Cricetulus griseus: one gene and its partners. The protein of the gene in region 1 interacts with the protein of each later gene in a biochemical or structural test. Links are inferred from orthologs where the notes say so. Each region holds a gene or a part of one and is shown in the gene's direction. Other genes may lie near its edges. The genes, in order: Ube3a, beta-actin-like protein 2, Esr1, Prkaca and Ubqln1.

What was found.
Region 2: the proteins of Ube3a (region 1) and beta-actin-like protein 2 form a complex in vitro, tested with the Homo sapiens proteins (2 studies listed by BioGRID). The link is inferred for Cricetulus griseus from reciprocal best matches to the Homo sapiens genes UBE3A and ACTBL2.
Region 3: the proteins of Ube3a (region 1) and Esr1 form a complex in vitro, tested with the Homo sapiens proteins (2 studies listed by BioGRID, with this or other methods). The link is inferred for Cricetulus griseus from reciprocal best matches to the Homo sapiens genes UBE3A and ESR1.
Region 4: the proteins of Ube3a (region 1) and Prkaca form a complex in vitro, tested with the Homo sapiens proteins (2 studies listed by BioGRID, with this or other methods). The link is inferred for Cricetulus griseus from reciprocal best matches to the Homo sapiens genes UBE3A and PRKACA.
Region 5: the proteins of Ube3a (region 1) and Ubqln1 form a complex in vitro, tested with the Homo sapiens proteins (2 studies listed by BioGRID, with this or other methods). The link is inferred for Cricetulus griseus from reciprocal best matches to the Homo sapiens genes UBE3A and UBQLN1.

The regions. Positions count from the first base shown.
Region 1 is NC_048596.1:138,677,134-138,681,835, reverse strand, and holds part of Ube3a (ubiquitin-protein ligase E3A), read left to right. Parts: intron 1-2,858; coding exon 2,859-3,003; intron 3,004-4,512; coding exon 4,513-4,702. UniProt on the Homo sapiens protein: E3 ubiquitin-protein ligase which accepts ubiquitin from an E2 ubiquitin-conjugating enzyme in the form of a thioester and transfers it to its substrates.
Region 2 is NC_048595.1:329,197,667-329,201,823, forward strand, and holds beta-actin-like protein 2, read left to right. Parts: upstream 1-1,644; coding exon 1,645-2,775; downstream 2,776-4,157. UniProt on the Homo sapiens protein: Actins are highly conserved proteins that are involved in various types of cell motility and are ubiquitously expressed in all eukaryotic cells.
Region 3 is NC_048595.1:282,510,925-282,515,626, forward strand, and holds part of Esr1 (estrogen receptor), read left to right. Parts: intron 1-3,452; coding exon 3,453-3,788; intron 3,789-4,702.
Region 4 is NC_048596.1:160,435,403-160,440,104, reverse strand, and holds part of Prkaca (cAMP-dependent protein kinase catalytic subunit alpha), read left to right. Parts: intron 1-1,864; coding exon 1,865-1,926; intron 1,927-2,281; coding exon 2,282-2,410; intron 2,411-4,702.
Region 5 is NC_048596.1:277,235,145-277,240,366, reverse strand, and holds the start of Ubqln1 (ubiquilin-1), read left to right. Parts: upstream 1-1,873; coding exon 1,874-2,029; intron 2,030-5,222. Other genes in the region: translation initiation factor IF-2-like, read right to left, coding at 846-1,583, 1,627-1,875. UniProt on the Homo sapiens protein: Plays an important role in the regulation of different protein degradation mechanisms and pathways including ubiquitin-proteasome system (UPS), autophagy and endoplasmic reticulum-associated protein degradation (ERAD) pathway.

The DNA.
Region 1 (4,702 bases):
AAGCTTTTGAATCAGTAATTTATATGTTTTACTAGAAATAGCATTCAAATGCATAAATAATATCAGGCGTTTTTACTATTTAGTAATATTTGTTCAAAACAGTTTCACTTTAGTGATGGAAAAGCAAATGAAAATTTACTTAAATCTCTTAAATTTTTAGCAAGTTGAGAGAGAACTTCGAGAAATCACTAAGATATATTACACAGTAATGACAGTAATGTGTGGAATCAGTGAAATTCAAATGTTCAAAGTTATTCTGTCTTGACAAGTTTTCAATTAGCACTGTTGTTGGTATGCTTTTCTTTTCCATTTCGAAGGTTAATTTTGAATCTACATGTTTTATGACCGTAGAGTCTCAGGACTAGTCTTTTGATCTTTTGAAGACATAAAGTTATGAATTTTAAGAAATAGTACTATATTTTTAAAGGATAATATTAGTTCTTACCAATTGTGCATGCTTTATAGAAATTATATATTCCTAAGCTTTTACCATCTTCTAGTAGGAAGAGTATTATCTCCTCTTTTCTTTGTACATTAGAAAGTTGGCTTGATGTACTAAAACTTAATAATTAAATGTTAATCTTTAGTGACAGGGTCTGTAAAGAGTATTTGGTTTCTTATATGTTCAGAAACAAAATATAGCCTCAAAAATAAATTTTCAATAAAAACTGATCTGAAAATAATGTTGTGAGCTTTGAGGGTAGATTAGTTATTAGAGCACTTTCAAGTAGACCCGAGTTTAATCCCCAAAACCCTGTTTAAAAAAAGGAAAATTGAGTGGGCATTGTAATCCTGTTGCTAGGTAGTCCGGTATTGGCACCCTGACTGTCAGTACAGCCTATTCTGATCTTCAGTCCTTCATTGACAAGCAAGGTGAACAGGTCCTGAGGAATAACAGCTGAGGTGTAATCACCCATGTGTGTCTACACCCATGAAGACATACAAATGAGTTAAACAAGACCAAGAGAGAGATAATTAGAAAAATAAATTCATAGTATCCTAGACCCCCAAAGTTGAAGATATTCAGGAAGTAATTTGAACCATTTGCTTTTTTTTTTTTTTTTTCCTTCAAAAAGTTTTGGCTGCATCCCCTACTAAGAAAAAAAAATATAGTATCCTAAATAAAATATATATCTGTATATTGAAATTTATCTGGCTAAAAACAGTAGGTACAATTAGATGTGGTGGTGGTTTTTTGTTTTTGTTTGCTTTTTATTTCCTACTGGTTGCAAACTATTGCAGCTAGCAGTTTTAAAAACTTAGATCTAGGGTATCTCTGCCAGATTCTTAAATTTATGAGATTCTACTTTTATTTTTTATAGACACTTAGGATACCAAAAACTATTGTTGCTTATGGCATTTGCTTTAAGGAGCTAGTATACTTATTCCAGTGCCATTTACATTCTTTAAGCCTATTTTTTTTTTTTTTAAGATTTTATTTATTTCCGTATACAATGTTCTTCCTGGCGCCTGAAGAGGGCGCCAGATCTCATTATAGATGGTTATGAGACACCATGTGGTTGCTGGGAATTGAACTCAGGTCCTTTGGAAGAACAGTCAGTGCTCTTAACCTCTGAGCTATCTCTCCTGCCCTCTTCAAGCCTATTTTAAAAGTTCCTTTTGGAATAGTTAAGAAAAACTTTAACATCCTTAAATATTGTTTTGTCATTTTTTTAAGCCAACGGGTGTTTGGAAACAATATTGAAAATAAATTGGATAATTAGTTATGAATACTATATGCAAAGTTGAAATAGGAGAACCAAATTACATTTTAAACCCAACACATTAGGATTTAATATTAATTTCTAATGGACTGAAGTTAATACTAGTGGAACAGGTTTGGCTAATTGTTAGATAAAGAAAAAAAGATAGCAAGTGTATGTTTCACCTGCCTTTGTGAAAATGTGGATGTTGTATGGGACATTATAATCCACTGAGAAGTGGCAATAAGTATAAATTTGTTTTGGCAGAGGGGAATTGTGTTAACAACAGAGACTTGATATGTATTCCAAGATTTCCTAGAACTTAGGATTTTCCTGTTTCATAGGCCTGAACTACCACATCTGGCTTTCGAATGTATATTTCTTAATTGAAGTTATTTCACTTATAACATGGCAGTTAGGAAGGCTTAACTCTACATTTCCCTTCCAATAAATGTAAATTATTCATAGATCCACTATATACTTTCTACTAGTAAACAATGTATAGGTCACATTTCTATGCTTTCTTTTGCTAAAATGACAATATGAGTAGTCAATTAGGCATTTTGTTGCCTCAATTTGTTCTCATATCTTGTTCTATATACTATATTAATTTATTATATAAAATATAATAGAAAATTTAGTTACCAAGTTAGAAGTAACCATTTTATGTATGGTGGTTTTGTGTGTATGTGTTGTGTGGTTTATGTTTGTGGTTCATGCATATGAATGTGCTGATGTGTGTACTCATGTGTGAACATCTGGAGACCAGTCTGTGATGACAGGTGTCTTCCACTTTTAGATAATAAGATATCTGAGTGAACTGGAAGCTCACCATTTTGTCTAGGCTGGCTAACTAGCAATCCTGAGAGTTGTGGCCTTTTCCCCACCATGTTGCAGGTATTAAGTAGTGTTGAAGGCACGAATGGTCATAATGCTAGGGATTCCAGCTGAGGTTTTAATGCTTGCAGATAAAGTGCTTTTACCTAATGAGCCATGTCCCTAGCACTCTGCCATACTCTTTTGGGGGGTCAGTTTGCTTCTTGTTTCCATTGAGAAACAAGATTGTTTCCTGTTAATAGTCCTTGTTTTCTTCTACTTGCATGTAGCTTTTATCCTATTATAATTGGTCCTCTTCTTTATCTTTTCATTGAACAGCTGGAGATGATTGCTATGGAAAATCCTGCAGACTTGAAGAAGCAGTTGTATGTGGAATTTGAAGGAGAGCAAGGAGTGGATGAAGGAGGTGTTTCCAAAGAATTTTTTCAGTTGGTTGTGGAGGAAATCTTTAATCCAGATATTGGTAAGTGTTAGTGATATGATGATGACATGTTAGTCTTTTGAATTATGAACTTGGTTTTATGAAGATTCTCAGCTATGATGAACAGCAAAAGAATTGGATATGGCTTACTTGTAATTATAGATAACAAATGTGTATGCTTCAGGAACTGATCTGTCTACTGCTGTATTTACCTTATTTCTTAGATTAATTAACCAAATATTCTGGTAGATGACAATTACCTTTTTGGTAAATTTAATTTGGAAAACCTTGGAATGGAGGATTGGAAGCTACTGAAGGCATGAGAATAATGGCTTATGAATTTTAGACACTGGATAATTTATAGCTTATTGTTCTTGTAACCAAAATCATCCATTTGTGACATTCTATCCCACTTACTGCTTGTCAATTGGAGTTTTTGATACTCTGTGGATCTATAACTTGGCTTGCAAATAAATAACCATACATGTATACATATTTTTCAAACTGTAGAACTCAAATATGAGTTGGATAATTTTAAAACGAGTATTTCACAAATATTAAATTGCAAAAAGAAGTATAGAGGTCAAAGAGAAAATTGTATTTTTCTTTTCATTAAAACTGAAAATGAAAAGTTTTAAATCTTTTCAAAATGAACTTAGAAGCACATTTTAATGCTGTTTTATTTGGTTTTGAGAAATGTTCCATTAGGTTAAAAGTTTCTTTGCCCAAGCCTTCTTTGATTTGTTTACTTTGTTCTTGGTTTTGGTTTTGTGGACAGTCTTTTTATATTGTATTCGTGCATTCTGGCCTTAAACTCATGACCCACCTGCCTCATTCTTCCAAGTGCTAAGGTGTGCAATCCCCTCTCCCCCAGCATATTAAACCTTAATTTACAAGTGTTTCCTGAGAGGCAACTGAAAATGAATTTAGAAAAATTAAAACGCATATGGATTTATTTAAAATATTTTTGTATTTAATGTTCAGTGAAAAAAGAAGACAAATCTATTTCTGCTCCCTTAGATGAAATAATGATATGAAAAAATGTCTTTGAAGTTAGATCTTGAATAATGGTGATTATGTAAAGATGAAATATTACAAATTTGGTTTTTAAAACTATTAGCTCACATTAGCTATGTATCTTAAGTAACTGGAAGTTAATCAACTTTATCTAATTCTTGTACTTGATCATGAGTTTGCTTCTTATGTACTTTTCAGTCATCTGAGTGGCTAAAATATGACTGTAAATTAACCTTTCATTAGTCAATGAAAATTGATAAGCCTTGAATAACCTAATAAAACTTTTTAAAAATACCTTTCCAGGAATGTCACCCAAATTTCATATTTTGTTTTGTTGGCTTCTTAGAGTTGTATACCACTAGTTAATACACTTAATGATAATCAGTTACTATATTTGTACAGTTTTCTCACATGCATGCAATAGCAAAAACATATCTACTATATTAAAATTCTTTTGTCTTATTTTGTTTAAAATTATTTTTAAATTTTTAGATTTTCAAAAATACAAATTATTTTAAAACTTATTTTTTATAGGTATGTTCACATATGATGAAGCCACAAAATTATTTTGGTTTAATCCATCTTCCTTTGAAACCGAGGGTCAGTTTACTCTGATTGGCATAGTCCTCGGTCTGGCTATTTACAATAACTGTATACTGGATGTCCACTTTCCCATGGTTGTCTACAGGAAGCTAATGGGGAAAAAAGGAACCTTTCGTGACTT
Region 2 (4,157 bases), on another chromosome or scaffold:
GTCTTTTTGTGACTGGGTTACCTCGCTCCAAATGGTTTCTTCTAGTTCCATTCATTTGCCTGCAAATTTCAAGATTCCATTGTTTTGTTTTGTTTTTTCCACTGAGTAGTACTCCATTGTGTAAATGTTCCATATTTTCTCCACCCATTCTTCAGTAGAGGGGCATCTAGGCTGCTTCCAGTTTCTGGCTATTATAAATAATTCTGCTATGAACATCGTTGACAGATATCCTTGTTGTATGAATGTGCTTCTTTTGGGTATATGCCTTGGAGTGGAATTGCTGGATCTTGTGGTAGACTGATTCCCATTAAGAAACTATGAGCTTTCTTAACTGAAGGCTTCTCAGTTCCTCATGTCCTGTGATCCATCATGACAAGCATTTACCAAGTTGTCTGTGTTTCCACATTAACCACCAAATTCAAATCAACTTCATCCAAAGTGGTCAGGATAATAAATCTTTAAATGAAAAGAAAGTAATGCTGTATCAATTGTGTTGAGTTTAACAACCACAGGCTTGCTGTCATGATAAAATACAAGCACCTTGAAGATCAGGTTTTTTTAAAACATCAATAAGCACTCAGATGCATAATTTAAAATTTTTTATCAATTTGTTTATTGTTATATAATCCAAACTTTTTATAAAAATTCACTGCAAATAAAGAGTTATAATTTGCATTTTATTTTTTATTTGAATTAGAAACAAGATTGATTTACATGACAATCCTAGTTCCCTTCTATAATTTGCATTTTAACTAATAAATCCCTCGAAAACATTGGCATTTTGCCTCTATGCAGTTGACATCCACTTAGTAAACCTATGAGCAATGCCAATGCATAGTAATAAATTTGGGTATTAGAAAATATAAATTATAAAATGTGGTTATTAGACATTTATGTCAGAAAAATATATAGTGGCTTACTTTATTGATTACCCTCTTGATTTTACTTATGCCTGGATGATTTGAAATCAATTAAACAGCTCTACATTTTTTTAAGTCACAAGTACATTCTGATTAAAGCCTTGACCAATCATTATTTTCATTCATTAAAACAGTTTCTATCATTGATGACATCTTGAAGTAATAGGAAATAAAATCTTGGAAAAGTAAAGACAAAAATCAGAGACTCTTCGTATGAACAATATATCAAAACTGAAAAGTCAAAGCTAAATGGGTGCAGAGTACAAGCTCAAGAGAGACGGTCCTTCCAGCAGGGTCACCCTTCCCATCTCTAGCTCTCTTTAATCTTGTGGTTACATTCCCCATTGCATCATGTAGTTATCTAGATACCTTGCCAAGCAGACTGGCAGCCGTGTGTGGGTTGCCTAATTATAGTATACTGAGATTTAGCCACTTGGTAGCCAGTTTTCTCTTTATGAAAGAAGGCCTAGTAATGATTTCTGTAATTATCATAATTATTAATACCTCAAAGGTAGCCCCACCCAGAAATGCTGGGAACTGGTGGGGTAGGAAATGGGTGGGGTCAGTGTGTTCCTTTAAATAGGGTGATCGAGGTACTGGCTTCCTTCTCTGAAGACAGTTCTGAAGTGTTCTCTGGTTATCCATTCTTTCTTGTACATCATAGTCTAGAACTTACCTCTATTCAACTTCAGTTCACCCATCTGGAAAATCCTAGCCAGCAACCATGGTTGATGATGAGCTGTCTGCCTTGGTAGTAGATAATGGGTCGGGAATGTGCAAGGCGGGATTTGGGGGTGATGATGCACCCCGGGCTGTGTTCCCCTCCATGGTGGGGCGTCCCCGACACCAGGGAGTCATGGTTGGCATGGGCCAGAAGGACTGTTATGTGGGAGATGAGGCCCAGAGCAAGCGAGGCATCTTGACCCTGAAGTATCCTATTGAACATGGAGTTGTCACCAACTGGGATGATATGGAGAAGATCTGGTACCACACTTTCTACAACGAGCTGCGTGTAGCGCCAGATGAGCATCCTATTCTTCTCACTGAGGCACCGCTCAACCCCAAGATCAACCGGGAAAAGATGACTCAGATAATGTTCGAGGCTTTCAACACACCTGCCATGTATGTAGCTATCCAAGCTGTGCTGTCCCTCTACGCTTCAGGAAGGACTACGGGTATCGTGATGGATTCTGGGGATGGGGTCACTCACACCGTGCCCATCTATGAAGGCTATGCTCTTCCCCATGCCATTCTACGACTGGATCTGGCAGGCAGAGACCTGACTGATTATCTCATGAAGATCCTGACAGAACGAGGCTATAATTTCACCACCACAGCTGAACGGGAGATTGTGCGGGATGTCAAAGAGAAGCTATGCTATGTAGCCCTGGACTTTGAGCAGGAGATGGTTGCTGCATCTGCTTCATCCTCTCTTGAAAGAAGCTATGAGCTTCCTGATGGGCAGGTGATCACCATTGGGAATGAACGCTTCCGGTGCCCAGAAGCCATTTTCCAGCCTTCCTTTCTAGGCATTGAGTCCAGTGGGATCCATGAGACAACCTTCAACTCCATCATGAAGTGTGATGTGGATATTCGTAAGGATTTATATGCCAATACTGTGCTGTCTGGAGGCAGCACCATGTACCCGGGCATTGCCGACAGGATGCAGAAGGAAATTGTAACCTTGGCACCAAGCACCATGAAAATCAAGATCATAGCTCCCCCAGAACGCAAGTATTCTGTTTGGATTGGGGGTTCCATCCTAGCCAGCCTGTCCACATTCCAGCAGATGTGGATCAGTAAGCAGGAATATGATGAAGCTGGTCCTCCTATTGTACATAGAAAATGCTTCTGAATGAGCCTCCGTGTCCCTTTTTCTAGGTCACAATGACGGTTCCCATCTCACCCAGTAAAGTTAAGGTAAATAGTTTATTTCCTATTAATTGTTCAAGCCAGAAAATCCATGTCTCCTGGGCTATGACAGCTAACCACACTGTGATTTCCATCCACTGAGGGAGTTCTGATATCATATTCTATTTTCTATGCCTGCAGGGCTCAAAGAAATATAGGCTTGCTTATATGAAAATATGTGACAAGGAATAAAGCCATGAGGAATATAATTTCATTGTGAAAAACTACAGTTTCCAAGCTTTAAATCTAGTTCTTGCTAAAATACTCAACAATACTATATACAAGCCTGTAATATAAAAGTTTAGCAACTAGGTCTTATTAAATCTTTTTTATTTGTTTATCTCTTTCTACACAGATATAATGAATTTTACAGGTCAATCATTCTCTATATCCACATATGCATCAGGGGAGTAAAGTGTTACTTCTTAAATTATAATAATGCATTTGGCTGACTGGGCAACTTACGTGAATTTCTTTACTTTCCAGCAGTCAGCATTTTAGTAGCTCTGTATTTCAATTAATTGCCTTATTAAATAAGCATAACTAAATAGTCAACATTTTATTAGTGTATATAAGTCAAATAAATTTTCTAATCAAGGTGCAGCTCCGTTGGTCAAACATATCTTACTATCTTGGTTGCTGGTCTTCATCATACTCATGAAACAGCAAACCTACAGATAATCACTTGCTTTTTACATAGAAAGATATTATTATATCGAGCTAATTTTGTTCTGCTACAGGGGACAGGAATAATTTTACTTACATTTCTTAGCCTAATAGCATGTCTTGAGTAATATCTGTTGGCCTTGATTCTGGATGTTTCTATTATGCAAGGATGTCACTATGGGGAAATATAGCTCCAGTTTCTTTGTAAGCAATAAATCTTAGTAGAAGTTCAGTAACCTCAAGTGTATTCTTGGAAAGATTTTGTTGTAGCTCTTCTTTATTACATCCAGCAACTGGAAATACGTGTTCATGCACATGTCTCTGAGGCAGTAGCTTCTCAAAAAAATATGTGTTTCTTCCTACAATATTTGAGATGTTTTAATGAGCCCAGTGGTGATTTAACAATTAATTTTAGGTGTGACCATATCTTCTTCCATCTATGTTGTGATTTCTGATTATTCAGTTACCAGGGTTATTTGTATTTTCCATGTTTTTAATCTAAAAATGTAAAATATTTATTTGCTTGTGAAGATACTTTCAGATACTTGGGAGGGGGGAAGTTTGGAAACTTCTTTTGTCTAAACATCTGAATTGGAATCTTTCACCAATTTTGAATAAGATGAAACTTGTCGTTAACTTGATTATTTCTTATTTCCTTTA
Region 3 (4,702 bases), on another chromosome or scaffold:
TCCCTGAGATAACCCTGAGAGGTGGAGACAGCAGGGTCTCTGGGTTAGCACTGAGAGATGGAAACAGGTGGGTCCCTGGGTTAGACCTGGGGAGATGGAGACAGTAGGGTCCTTGGGTTTGCTTGCCAGCCAAGGTAGGTGAATGAATAAGTTCTAGGTCTAGTGAGAAGGTCTGACTTGAAAACTAAGGTGGAGCATGACTGGGCACACTTGACATTGACCTCAAGCCTCCATGTGGACATACACACTCATGCACTTGCCCATGTACACATGTGTTCACACACAGAAACATCAACATGCTCACACACAAAGTTGTCTGGTGAGTGAAAACTGTACATACATGACAAGAACCATGCACTATTTCAATAAATGGTGTAATATTCACATCAGGGCAATCATCTCCATTTTCTCATAGACTGATCATTTCTCTTTACTGGTTATCTTTTTTTTAAAGCTTTTTTTAGTAATACACAATTGGTTATCATTATCTGGTCACTGCACTTTGCAAAATAACACTGGAATTTATTTCTCCTGTGTGACTGAAAATGAAGCTTAGCCAAATTTACTCTAAGCTTCTCTCACTTTCATTCCTCCTGGCTTCTTAGGATAGGCATTCTGCTCTCAGTGTCTGGACAGCTATTTTGTTTATCCATTTATTTATTTATTTATTTATTTATTTATTTATCCATTCAGCTATTTATTTGTTCACTTATTTTTTGTTTTACATCCCAACTGCAGTTTTCCCTTCCTCCTTTCCTCCTAGTCCTCCCCACCACCTCCCTTCACAGGGTTATTTTATATTACACACGAGTATCTGTTCACCTAACATACTATCTTTCAGCTCTACCCAATTTTTTTTGCCAATGACAGAATATCACTTCTTTTTAATGGCTGAACAGTTTTCTGTGGTGTATATGTACCACATTTTCTTCTTTCATTCATCAGTTTATGGACACTTGCATTGCCTCTCTTTCTTGGGGTACTGTGAACAATGTTGTAATAAACATGGCCATACGAATGTCTCTTCAACATATTGAGTTGGTTTTCTCTGGACATATGGCTGGGAATGAAATTGCTGGGTGAAATAGTAGTTCTATATTTTTAATTTAAAAAGAAAAATTTTTTAAGAATTATTTATATTATGCATATGGATGATTTGTGTGCATGTATGTCCGTACATCATATATATGTCTGGTACCATGGAGGTCAAAAAAGGCATTGGGTCTCCTAAAACTGGAGTTACAGGCAACTATGAGCCACAATGGAGGTCTCTGAGCCAAACCCTGGTCCTCTGTGAGAGCAGCAAGTGTTCTCAGATGCTGAGTCATCTCTCCAGCTCTTCAACTTTTTAAAAAGGAAACTATCTACTATTATTATAGCGAGTGTAGACTTACCACCAGGCAAAGGCATCCTATCATTGAGTTTCTCCATATTCTCATCAATGTTTCTTGTCTTTTGTCTGTTTTATACTTGTCATTCTAACTGGAGTGAGATGGCTTCTCATGGATTTGATTTGCGTTTGTCCCATTTTAGTGATGCTGAACATTTTTTTTTTGGTATCAAATGTTTTACATATGTACACAGCCAACATAAGATCAAAATATACTTTATTCTGGACCTCTTTCAGATCTGATTCAAATTACCGTTGTCAAAGCAATGCAATGCAAAGGGGGAAACTGCAACAACACACACATAAAAAATGTGCCTGGAAAGGGTCAAAAGGTCATTGGGGACAAATCACCATGATGTGGAACCAAAATACATAGCAAGTGTCATTGACATGGTCCAGGAGAGACAGACATCTGTATCAGTCTTCCTTACACAGTCATCATGAAAACTGAACAATAAAGTTCTTTAACGTGTACAAAAACTGTCATGGGCTGGTTTACACTTTACAACAGCTTTAAGGTTACTGGGGAACTAAAGAAAGGATGCAGACATCATCACCCAGTGCTAAGGTATGCTCACAGAATTAGACCCAAAGGATTTCCAAACCCAAATGAAAACATTCTACATAGTGACAATGTCAAAGTCGGGAGACAAAACCATTTCTGTATTTAAGGATGGCAGAGATACACAATGAAGTGTGTAATGAGATGAAAAAGTACACCAGACACAACATGCAGAATGTTTCCTCCAACTTATCCAGAAATTCCAAAGAAAACATGTAACTGCTTGCTAGGTGTTAAAAAAAAAAAAAGCCTAATTATTCACCCGGCTCCAACATGGTCACAGAAGAGCAAAAATAAAGAATGCTATGGACACCTCAGAACTGCTAGAGAAGACATCAGATTCTAAATGAGTGGATTAAAAATGTGAGCACTCCCTTTTTCCCCCTCTTCTACATTCAACTAGAGTCATGTGTTAAACAACTGGTATTAAATGTGACAGACACTTCAGAGCTATTACCGGAAGGAGTAGTTCACATGGTCCCTCTTGCTGACTTCAAACAAAAGGAGGGAATCAAAAACAAACAGAAAACCACCCCCTGGGTCTCTGTAGGCTGGCTGCTAGCCCCCAAATGCTGGCTTTTGCTGGTGTGCCATGATGTTGGTCCACGGAGGCAGGATTTCTGCAGCAACTGTGCCAGTACCACTCTTAACTCGTGGGAATCCAGCTTTTGTGGAAATGATGCTGAACATTTGGCATACTTATTTCTTTTAACCATTATGTCTTTGTTTGAGAAGTATCTCCTTTGGTTGGCTGGCCATTTCTGATTGCATTATTGCTGCTTGAGTTAATTTTTGTGTGTTGATGATTGTTAAATCAGTGTTTCTCTTGGGATTCGGTCATTGGTAGGTCTTACTCCATCATGGTGCTCTACTCCTTCACTACTAAAATTACTGTCAATTTGCTATTAAAGAGTGTCTACAACAGATGCAGTATTTGATATTAAGCTATATTTCATGAGTAACTAACTAATTATTATAATTTTGTTATTTTTATAGCATTTATTGTACACACAGACACATGAACACTTATACACGTATACATACACACATATACACACGTACAAACATGCACAAAAACACATATACACACATATATATATACATACATACAGATACACACATACACAGATACATACATATATGACACACATATACATAAACACACACACATACAATACTAGTGTGTCAGAAACAACTACTATTGGCTCATAAAATCACATTGTTATATTTTCAGGAGTTTGTGTATCTCTAAATATCAGACAAGTGACTTGAAATTTGTTACACTGACATTATTTATCAAATGAATATCATCAATGCCACAAATCAGTGCTGTTCTCTTTTGCCATTTGGAGTGAGAGTTATTAAACACTAGTTTGCATGAGCCTTCCGTATTTATTTTAATAAAATAAAGGGCTATTATCTTTGAAGATGGTGTTTGTACTGAAGTTGACGGGAGAAAAGGGTAATTGAATTTGTTCTTTTATCCTTCTGCATTTTCAGGGATACGAAAAGACCGGAGAGGAGGGAGGATGCTGAAACACAAGCGCCAGAGAGATGACTTGGAAGGCAGAAACGAAATGGGGCCTTCAGGAGACATGAGGGCCGCCAACCTTTGGCCAAGTCCTCTTGTGATTAAGCACACTAAGAAGAACAGCCCTGCCTTGTCCTTGACAGCTGACCAAATGGTCAGTGCCTTGTTGGATGCTGAACCGCCCTTAATCTATTCTGAATATGATCCTTCTAGACCTTTCAGTGAAGCTTCGATGATGGGATTATTGACCAACCTGGCAGACAGGGAGTTGGTTCATATGATCAACTGGGCAAAGAGAGTGCCAGGTAAGAACGCAAAACTCAACGTCTGTTTTAAGAGTGAATGACTCAAGAACTGGCTGTGATACTGTGTGGGGAGGGGAGAAAATAACAGCGTGCGATGTGGTTGGTGTCAGTGCTACATCGGGGCTTGCCAATTGTCAGTGTTAACCCACTGTATTTCTCTTGAAACTTGAGAGTAGCCTTTAAAATCAACACCAAGAACAATAAAGCCTTCGACATAGTATTTCTGGCCAGTTTTCTCTGCTCAGAAGAGTTGGATAGATACTACATACTGCATGCACACATGTGTCTGTCATGCAGAAATCACATTTTAAAAGTGCTTAATGCTCAGTGATCTATGGAATTGTTTTGATTTCTAAGACTATCATTGAAAATGCCTCTATTGAGGAGAATTTTTCCCATAAATAATCTATTCTTCAGATGTTGTGCACTAAAGGGCTAATAATAGGCTTATTTGTGGAATGCCAATTATTTATTCATTTTGCTTTATGCATCCTATGTTCAGAGAAAAGGAAATACAATAGGAAAATAAACACAAGCAATGCCCTGAGGAGCTGCTAGAAAGATCCAGAGGCTGAAGTGACACTCTGTTCATCCTATTGGTCTCTCAAGTGCTGTTTCTAAAGCTCTTGACTGGTCTCCTTTATGGAGAAGGACTCTAGTTATGATGGGAACAAGCCTCTCCCATGCCCCAACTAATGGATTTCGTATACAGAAGCCTAGGCTGAGGCAAAAAGAGGTGGACTCTCTTGTATGGCTTATAGATCAAATCAATGTGAGATTTAAATTGAGCTTTTTTTCTCCCTGGGCTTCAATAGATGAAGTTATTTTTTTGTGACACGTGAGATTTTTTTTTCTTTTTTATAATACTAAAATATATATGGAGTTTTGGGCTTCCATTTCCAGAGTTGTTGACA
Region 4 (4,702 bases), about 22 Mb from region 1:
ATACTCCTTTGATACAGGTTCTTGCTATATGCCCTAGGCTGGCTTTGAACTCAGAGTCCTACCTCAGCTCCCAAAGTCTTGATCTTATAATTCTGTGCCATTGCTCCAAGCCTGTTTTCTTGGTACTGTTCTCCCTGTGCCCTGACCTATCTCACTACTAGGGAGTCAGGAGGATTGCTCTGAGCTCAAGGCCATCCTGGGCTACATAGTGAGTTCCATGTCATACTGGGCTACAATATAAGATCTTGTCTCAGAAAATCAAGAGAGGACCTGGGTGTGGTGGTGCATGCCTTTAATCTTAGCACTCAAGAGTCAGGTAGGAACAGAGGTGGATCTCTGTGAGTTTGAAGCTAATCCGGTCTACATAGTGAGTTCCAGGACAGCCATGGCTATGTAGAGAGACAGCCTGTCTCAAAGGGAAAAAAAAAAAAAAAAATCAAGAGAGAGTATTAGCCGTAGTTCTCTAAAGGAACAGAACTGACAGAATGAATATTTATATGTGGGAATTATTAGAGTGTCTTACAGGCTGTGGTTTGGGTAGTTGTCCAGGCCTAAGACTGGATTATCTCAGCAGTCCTAATCTATTGCTGGAGTTCTGGAAGATTTCTGGACAGCTGCTCTTTCTTAGTCTACACTGAAATTCTGAAGAAATAGGTTCTAACGCCAGCACAGGAATGCCTCAGCAATATGACAGATGAACTTGCCAGTGCAAGTGAGGGCAAGCAGGCAAAAAGCAAAATTTCCTTCTTCCATGTCCTTTTCTGTAGCCTATTGCCAGAGGATGTGGCCAGGTGTATGGTGGGTCTTCCCACTTCAGATGATCTAATAAAGAAACCCCTTATACGTGTATCCAGATGCTGGGGTTTTAGAGGACTCCATATATAGTTAAATAGCCAACTAAGGTTAACCATCACAGAGGGAATAGCTGGCATTTCTGTACCATAAACCTTGTGCCAGGCTGCTGTCCAGTACCCTTTGCCTGGGTGGACTTCTCCCACCACTACCACCCTACAAGATCATCATTGCTTTATCCCCGTTGCTCGTGTGGAAAATTGAGACTTAGAAAGATGAGATCAGTTGTCCAAAGACACACAGCCCGTGACTGACCAGACTCTGAACCACTACCCTGAAGTCTTGTCCCCTAGCTGCCTCACGGTGGCTATACCTAACAGTGAACTGTCTCCAGGCCTTGTTTTCCTGGTTATTAATAGGGTAAAACAGATACATATAAGGAAGGTTGTCATTCAGATCACATAAGTGTGTTGATGAAGTGGGTGCCCCAGCCAGACACCAGGGGCAGCTTCTACATTGGTAAATGAGATGCTGGCCTCAGGATGCTGCAGGCACCAGGGTGGAGTGTGCCTGAAGGGAGGTACCCAGTAAAGCAGTTCAGGGGTGAGAGCTCTTCCCTCAGCAAAGGCAGGCACAGAACCAGTGGGGGCTAAGGTGACAGCTGAGCCCCCCCAAGGGTGCCTGCTACACTAGCCCTACAGGCCTCCACCAGGGCCTGGCCTCAACAGACAAGCAGCCAGATCAGAGGCTATAAATACCTCAGCTGGCACAGCCCTGGCCAAGGAATGTCTGTTAGTGCTAGGGAGAGTGGGGTGGGCTGGCCCGTGTGCCTCTTGGTCCTGTGTGCCCCTGAGTCTCCATGAACCCTATTTAGGAATGACCGGAATCTGGGACCCACCTCTGTAATTAAAGGGGTACTCAGGGCCCAGCCCAATCACCCTAAATTGCCTCTAGGATCCCCCAAAGACACTGGGAAAATACTGGACTCTGGCTTGAGACAGCTGTCCCCACTAACCACCAGAGTGCAAAAACTTGATGTGCCTTGAAACATAACTTCCTCTCTCTCCCTCAGTGAAAGAGTTCCTAGCCAAGGCCAAGGAAGAATTCCTGAAAAAATGGGAGAGCCCTTCTCAGGTAAGCACCTCAGACTGAACAGTTCCCAGGGGACACTGCCTAGCTCTGTCCCTGTGTTCCCTTCCCAGCTCTGCCCCATTCCCTTCTGACATGCCCACGGTGACTCCTGCTTCTCATCTCTGGGCCCCCACCCCACTGAACCCTTGCACCTGGCAGCCCCCGCTCCCCATGCAGCTGCCAGCAACTCCTGGGCCCCAGGCCAGGGCCGGATCTGGCCCCTGCCATCCTGCCTGGAAGAATGTCCCCTGGGTCATCTCCACCCACTCCCCAGGGCCCCCTCTGCCGGTGACATAGGGGACTCCACAACCCAGAAATCTGCAGAGGTGCTTCTGACCTCTCCTATCCCTGCCCACAGAATACAGCCCAGTTGGATCACTTTGATAGAATCAAGACACTTGGCACTGGCTCCTTTGGGCGAGTGATGCTCGTGAAGCACAAGGAGACTGGGAACCACTATGCCATGAAGATCTTGGACAAACAGAAGGTAAGATAATCAGCTACCAATCAGGCTTTCCCACTGCTGTCCACCCAGACCCCATGCCAAGCCCACCCCTGCCCACATGGCTTTGCTGCCCATTCATTCACCACTCACCAGCTGCCAAATAATAGAACCAATCAGCTGTGAATCAGCAATGCAGCCCTCCCCTGCACCTTGGGTTAGAAAGGTCCAGTGGCAGCTTTGCCTTGCCAGACGCAAAATACTGTGCTGAGTCCCTGGAAGTGAAGGGATTGTGTGCATCTTTTCATTGTAAGTTCATTTTCATTGTAAGTAAGGCATTGTAAGTTTTCACTGGTGGTTTAATGTCTACTGCTGGGGTGCAGCTTAGAGGCAGAGCACTTGACCAAACTCTCAGGGCCCTTGGGTCCATCCTTACCTCAGCAAAAGATGAAATAAGTGGGAACTGATGTGAGGTTCACAGTGTTGCTGCACACACAGGCCAGAGCTCTGCAAACTTTGCCATCTGTGCTCAGTAGTGTCTTTGAACCTGTCCCCGTGAGTACTAAGCCACATGCAAGTCCCCCTGATCCTTCACAGTCTGTCAGACCCAAGGGTCAGGAGGGTGTGTACCACTTCACAAGGCCACCCCCACAAAAACATACAGCTGGTCAGAGGTGACCAGGGTGTTCTTGGAGAAAGTAAGGTTTATATAGAAGTTTTTTTGGGTTTTTTGTTTTTGTTTTTGTTTTTCAATTTAGGGTTTCTCTGTATAGCACTTTGTAGGCCAGGCTAGCCTTGAACTGACAGAGATTTGCCTGCCTGTCTCCTCAGTGCTGGATTAAAGGCATGTACCACCATTGCCCAGTTTACACAAAAGCTCTTAAAATTTTTTTTAAACTTATTAATTTTAGTGTTGCGGGGGACTTGTTGGCCAACTATATCAAAACAATGAGGTAGACATGGGAATGAAGAGAAGGCTTGGTGAGTTAAAGGCACTTGCCACCAAGCATGGTGACTTTAGTTCAGTCCCCAGAACCCACATGGTAGAAGGAGAAAACCACTTCTACAAGTTGTCTTTTGACCAAGATCAAGTGTCCTCTGACCTCTACAAGTATGTCATGGTACAACTATGCATCTACACACACATACAATAAGTGAGTTTAAAGAAACAAACAAAAAAAACTTAATGAGTGGGAGAGCTGAAGAGATAGCCTAGTGGATAAGTCGTCACCTCTCAGGCAAGCATGAGTTCAGTCCCCAAAGCGCAGCACAGCAGCTTTGTCTGTGTCAGCACCCCTACTGTGAGAGTCCCTGGGAGCTCAGGGCATCCAGCCTGCCATATGCAGCAGTAGAAAGGATCCTACCATTAAACAAGATGGAAGGCAAGGACATACACCTGCGTTTGTCTTCTGACACACCTGGACTCACACAAACACACGCAATATTTTTATTTTTTGAGACCGGGTTTCTCTGTGTAGCCCTGGCTGTCTTTGAACACAGAGATCCACCTGCCTCTGCCACTGGAGTGCTGAGATTAAATTCGTGTGCCACCACCACTTGGCCAAGATTTTCTTAGAAAGAAAAAAAGAGACAGGGCATGATTGAGGAAACTACCCATTGTCAACTTCCATCCTCTACATATGTGAGCATGCATGAATGCTTACACAGACATAGACACACAAAAACATTCATTTTGAAGCTGTGTGCGGTGGAATATCCCAGCACTTAGGAGGGGAGGTGGAGGAGGATGAGGAAGTCAAGGTCATCCTCATAGCAAGTGCATTGCCATCCTGGCTGTATGAGACCTTGCCTCAAAATAACCAAAACCGTTGTTTGGAAATGGGGTCTCGCTATGTAGCACAGGCTGGCTTCAAACTTGAGATCCTCCTGCCTCTGCTTCTAGAGTCCTGAGGTGACAGGTGTGTGCCACCATATGCAGCTTTTCATAAAGACCGTGTGTGCATGAGTGTGTATTTTTGTATCTGTGTATGCAAGTGCAAGGTAGGGATACAATATCTATACTGGGTCTCTTCTTCAGTCACTCCCCACATTTATTATTATTATCGTTATCGTCATCATTAAGTTTTTTTGAGACAGGGTTTCTCTGTGTAGCTTTGGCTGTCCTGGAACTCACACTGTAAGCCAGGCTAGGCTCAAATTGAACATATCTGTCTTCCTCTGCTTCCTGTAAGGGCATGCAACACTACACTTGGCTCTCCACTTTATCTTACTAAAGTTGGAGTGAGGCTGGCTGGCCAACAAGCACCAGGGATCCACCTGTCTTCACCCTACCAGGGTTGTAGGTGCACACCACTACCACCCCTGCCCCGAATTTTC
Region 5 (5,222 bases), about 140 Mb from region 1:
AGAACAGTCGTTCATAACATGCTATACTACAACTGTTCAGAAATCAATTTAGGTTGGGCATGGTAGCCCACATCTTTGATCCCAGCACTCAGAAGGCAGAGGCAGGCAGATCTCTGTGAGTTCCAGGCCAGCCAGAGCTACACAGAGAAACCCCGTCTGGAAACACACGCCCCCACCCAAAAAAAGAAAGAAAGAAAGAAAGAAAAGAACCAATCTAGACAATTGTAGGGCTATTCCATGTGTACACAGCTAGAGGTTAGGTTTCTAAAGGGCAAGGGAGTAAAGACTTCCAGGGGAATGCGACGTAAGAGTAAAGAAATGGGAAGGGAAGGGAGGTCACTGTAGGCTGAAAGGCAGCCTGGGAAAATACTGCATGAAGGAAAACCAGATGAGAACAGGGAGCTAATGAAGTTGGGGAGAGATTTTACTTAAATATACAGAAGAAATGTCCAAAATACTTGCTTGCCCAACGGTGGAACTTCCTACCCCCAAGAAGTAAGCGATCGTCTCGTACCTAGACATAGGCCTTGTAAACGCTTCCTGTCGCTGAACAATGCTGGCAGGCACTAAGTGATATCCACCGATACCTCGTCTTGCAATTTACACCGCCGCCGCAACTCTGACCCAGATTTCAAAGGGCTCTGCTAAGACGTGTTTATGCAACAGCAGTTAATCACGGAAAAGGGTTCGATGGCCTAAGAGCAAAAATATGGGATGTCTTTGCGTATTTGGGTCACGGTGCTCTGTCAGCGCTCACCTTGGTGCAGCACCAGCTAGTGTGCCAAGTGCCACAATGTATCGCAAGTTATGGATGGCGTGGGGGTCACGGCTGAAACGGAAATAACTTAACTGGACCTACGTTCTCCACTGGGGTTACCCCGGAGGGCACCTCGGGCCTGGGGGGGGGGGGGCGCAGTAACTTTGGACCGCGTCCTGGAGGCGCACACGAGCCCCAGGCTGCAGCCCACCCGTGGAGCGGCCCGCCCTGGGCACCCGCGTCTGCCGCGCACAGCGTGGAAGGCGGAGCAGGGCGGCCGTGTGTCCGGCCTGGCTCCGGGGACGGGGCCGCGGCCTCCCTGCACCCACGCCTGCGGGCTGTGGGCCCCGCGCTGGCGCTGGCGCTGGCGCTGCCCCGCGTCCGTTCCCGTCTCCGCGCCCGCCCGCGGTGGCGCAGCTCCAGCGGGGCCCAGAGCCGGGCGGGCGGCCCCAGCCCCTTCCGCCCGGGCACACGCTGCGCTCCTCAGAACCAAGTGCCCGCGCGGGCCGCCGGCCACCGGGGCCGGGTCGGGGGACACCGGGAGCGCAGGCCCAGCGGGCCAGGCCGCTTCCAGCAAGTTCGCCGCCGGCCGTGACGTCATTTCAGGGCGCCGCGGCGGCGCCCCGCAGAGACCCCGGGGAGCGGCTCCCGACGCAGCGGGGGCGATGAAGCGAACCGAGTTAACTCGCTGTCCCCTTCCCCCTGCCGCCGCCGCGGCTGCCTTGGAGCCGGAGGAGCCCGCGCCCCTCGTCAGCCCGGCGGCGGCGCGCGGCGGCGGCAGGCGTGAGGCGGGCGAGGACTCGGCTTCCCGGCGTGCCCCGCGCCCCTGAGTCGGCGCGGCGGCCAGCGCGTTACCCAGCGTGCCCTGCGCGGCGCCGGCGACGGACGTGGGGGAGGTGCGGGAGGAGGAAGCGGCGGCGGCGGCGGCGGCGCGGCGACGCGGAGACGGCAGCCGAGCCATCGATCGCCCGCCCGGGCCCGCACCGCACCGCACCGCACCGCAGCCCGTGCCCGCGCGCCCTCGGCGGCCCCGCCGCAGCCCGTGCCCGCTCCGCTCCGCCGCGCCGCGCCGAGCCGGCCGCAGCCCGCAGGGTCCCGGTCGCCTGAGTCACCGCCATGGCCGAGAGCGCCGAGAGCGGCGGCCCCCCGGGCGCGCAGGACGCAGCCGCGGCCGACGGCGGCCCCGCGGAGCCCAAGATCATGAAGGTCACGGTGAAGACGCCCAAGGAGAAGGAGGAGTTCGCTGTGCCCGAGGACAGCTCGGTCCAGCAGGTGAGGCCCCGGGGCGCCGGGGCGCCGGGGCGGGGAGGGCGGCCGGGCCCGGCCCTGCGGGGCTCTGCGGGGCTCTGCGGGGCCGGGGGAGGGCGAGCGGCGGCCGCCGAGCTCCGGGCCTCGGCTCCTGACAAAGGAGCGGGCGGGCAGGGCGCGGGCGGCGCTCGCTCGGCCTCTGTGGCCCGGCTGGCGGGGCGGCGGGGCGGTGAGGTGAGGCGGGCGGGGCCCGGTGGGGGTCATTGTTTCACCTGCCGGCGAATCGCAGAGATTTGGGGGTGAGGAGCACGTGCAGGCTGCGTTCTGTGTTGTGTGTCCCCCCCACACCTTTCAGCCTTTTATTATATATACGCTATTATATATATACATATATATTTAAAATTGTGACGTGGAGATCGCTTTCAGTCAGCCTGGTGATAAGCTCACGCCCGAGGGAGAAAAGTCAAAGACTTTGATTCACGGACGACTCGCTGTTTCTGTCTCAATAACCTTCGTCATCGCCCAGCCGCTCGCCCGCTCGCCGGCTCGCCCGCCCGTCACGGGGCAGGTTATTGTTCGACTCCAGGGGGACGAGAGCCATACCTACCTGCCGGGGTGTTAGGTGGTTGCCGCCGGACGCAAGAAAACAGAATTGGTGTTAACGGGGAGTCTTACTAAACAAATAATCGCTTTAAATCCCGTTCAGGGAAAGCAAATTTTGCAGCTAATTAAGAGCCCCTGGTAAAAGTTAGCAGATTTATCTGTTTAGCACGTTCTAGAGCACTCGGATTGTTGACAGTCTCAACATCGTGGACGGTTTTGTGCGAGGACGCAATTAACAGGCACTGGAATGTGCCTTTAGGTTCTCTGAACGTTTATCTAGTTCCAAAGGTGAAGTCGTTTTTTTTTTTTTTTTTTGTTTTTGTTTTTTTTTTGTGAAACAGGAGGGTGTGTGGCATCAGCTGAGGGAACTACTGTTGACTGAATCACCATTCCTTGTTAACGCTGCTGTAAAAGGTTGAACGTCTTTGTGTTTTCCAGCATGTGTGTGCCTCACCCACGATTGACATTTTCCTGCACTTGCTGTGTTATGCGTCCCTTATTTCTAAAATACATTTTTAAGGTGTAAATACCGATATCGGTATCACCTTACAAGGCACGTAAGCCGTGTGCGTGTTAGTTAACTTGAAAACCACTGTTGTGGAAATTTATTCCACATAAATTTGATGTGCACGTGGGTGCCTTAGCCAGTTTTCACAAACCCATCTACACCTGTGCCAGCCAAGCACACAACTAGGTGTGGCCTGTTAGAGCTGACTTGAAAGCTTTTGTCTCACCTTCTCTTTAAAGAAGTCACTCTTTGTCACCCCCGTGGGGATTTTTTTTTCCCCCACCAGAGATTGATTTTGCCTGTCCAGAAGTTCACATACGCAGAGTTGTATATAATGAAATCTTTTGGGAAAGACTTTTTTTCTTTCCCTCTTCAGCATATTTTTGAGATTCATCCTTGTGAATGTTTGTACCCCTCCCACCCCAGATGTTTGCATACTAGGCACAGGCTCCACTCTACCACTGACCCATGTCCCCAGCTCAGTACCTAACTGCTCTGTGGTTTTCCATAGCATGCATATGCCACAATCTACTGTCCAGGGTCTTTCTCAATTGTAGTTGCTGTGAACAGTCGCATATAAATCATTTTGACAATATATGCCTTTATCTGCATTAGAATGCTTCTGTTTACTTTTTGAGTTTTGTTGTGGTGCTGTTTTGGTTTTTCAAGACAAGAGTTTCTCTGTGAAACAGCCTTGGGTGTCCTGGAACTCTATAGTCCAGCTCAGAGATCCACTTGCCTCTGCCTCCCTAGTGCTGGGATTAAAGGCCTGTGCCAGCATGCCCTGCTATTTTGTTTGTTTTATTTTGAGACAGTGTTTCATTATGTAGCCCCAGCTGTCCTGGAACTTGCTTTGTAGACCAGGCTGACTTGGATCTCACAAGTGCTGGGATGGATTGAGGGCTTGCGCCACCTCATCTGGCCAGTTCTGTTTAGTTTTATAAGACACAACCAACAGCATATGGGTGTGTATTTCTCTTGTTCTGTATCCTTGCTAATATTTGCTATGTACAAGGTTTTTTTGTTTGTTTGTTTTTATTTTTTATTGTAGCTGTTTAATGAATGTGTAGCGATAATAAATCATGAAGCTCTTGAGTCTAAGATTCCCAGCTTAAATTTCCATCCTGACAGCTTCCCCATTTTATTTCAGGACTTTAGAAATATAATAAATGAAAAAATTATTTATGTGAAGATTTGTAAGATTTTTTTTTAAAGAGTGACACTAAAGTTTTAAATTCCGTAGAAGTTTATATTTCACTATGCTGTAACTAAAAATGATTTAATGGGTAAAAGTAAAACCTTCCTAAAGTAACTTACTCTGATATTGCTTAATGTTTAAAGCTTTCTCTGTTTTCTGTGGAAACAGAAAATGTGATGAAAGTTGAAAGCTTACCCCTGTACCACAAACGGAAAACACATCAAACTGCTGAGTGAGTCAGGGGAGCAGACTTAGAAACATGTACAAAAAAAATATAAAACTATTTGTAGCACAAGACAAGGTCTACCATTTTGTAACTTAATTTTTCTTATAGAATTTAGTAGGTTTGATATTTACTACAGATTAAAGTTTGTTGATGAGTAGTATTTGGTGGCAATAAGATTGCCTTTAAAAATGCTTAGTGATTGTGAGTGGGGCTGGGGTTAGGGTTCAGTGGTGGAGCGTGTGGTTCAGATACAGGAGGCCCTGACTGAGTCCCCAGTGCACTCCACATCCTCTCAAATGGCAGGCTGATGTTGGGAAATACTTGATTCTGAAAATTCTTAACCTGTGAGGGGGTAGGAAAAAAAGAATATTGAAAGCTTATGCTGTTAGGCAAATCACACTTTTTTTGTTTGGGTTTTTTGTTTGTTTGTTTTTGTTTGTTTTTCGAAACAGGGTTTCTCTGTGTAGCTTTGGAGCCTATCCTGGCACTTGCTCTGTAGACCAGGCTGGTCTCGAACTCAGAGATCCGCCTGCCTCTGCCTCCTGAGTGCTGGGATTAAAAGCGTGTGCTGCTGCCACCACCACCATCACCGGGCATCCTTGTTTTAGTTTTTGAAGCAAGTGCTCCCTGTAGAGCCTTATTTACTCTCCATATGTGTAATGTGTGTGTGGCGATTAGAAGG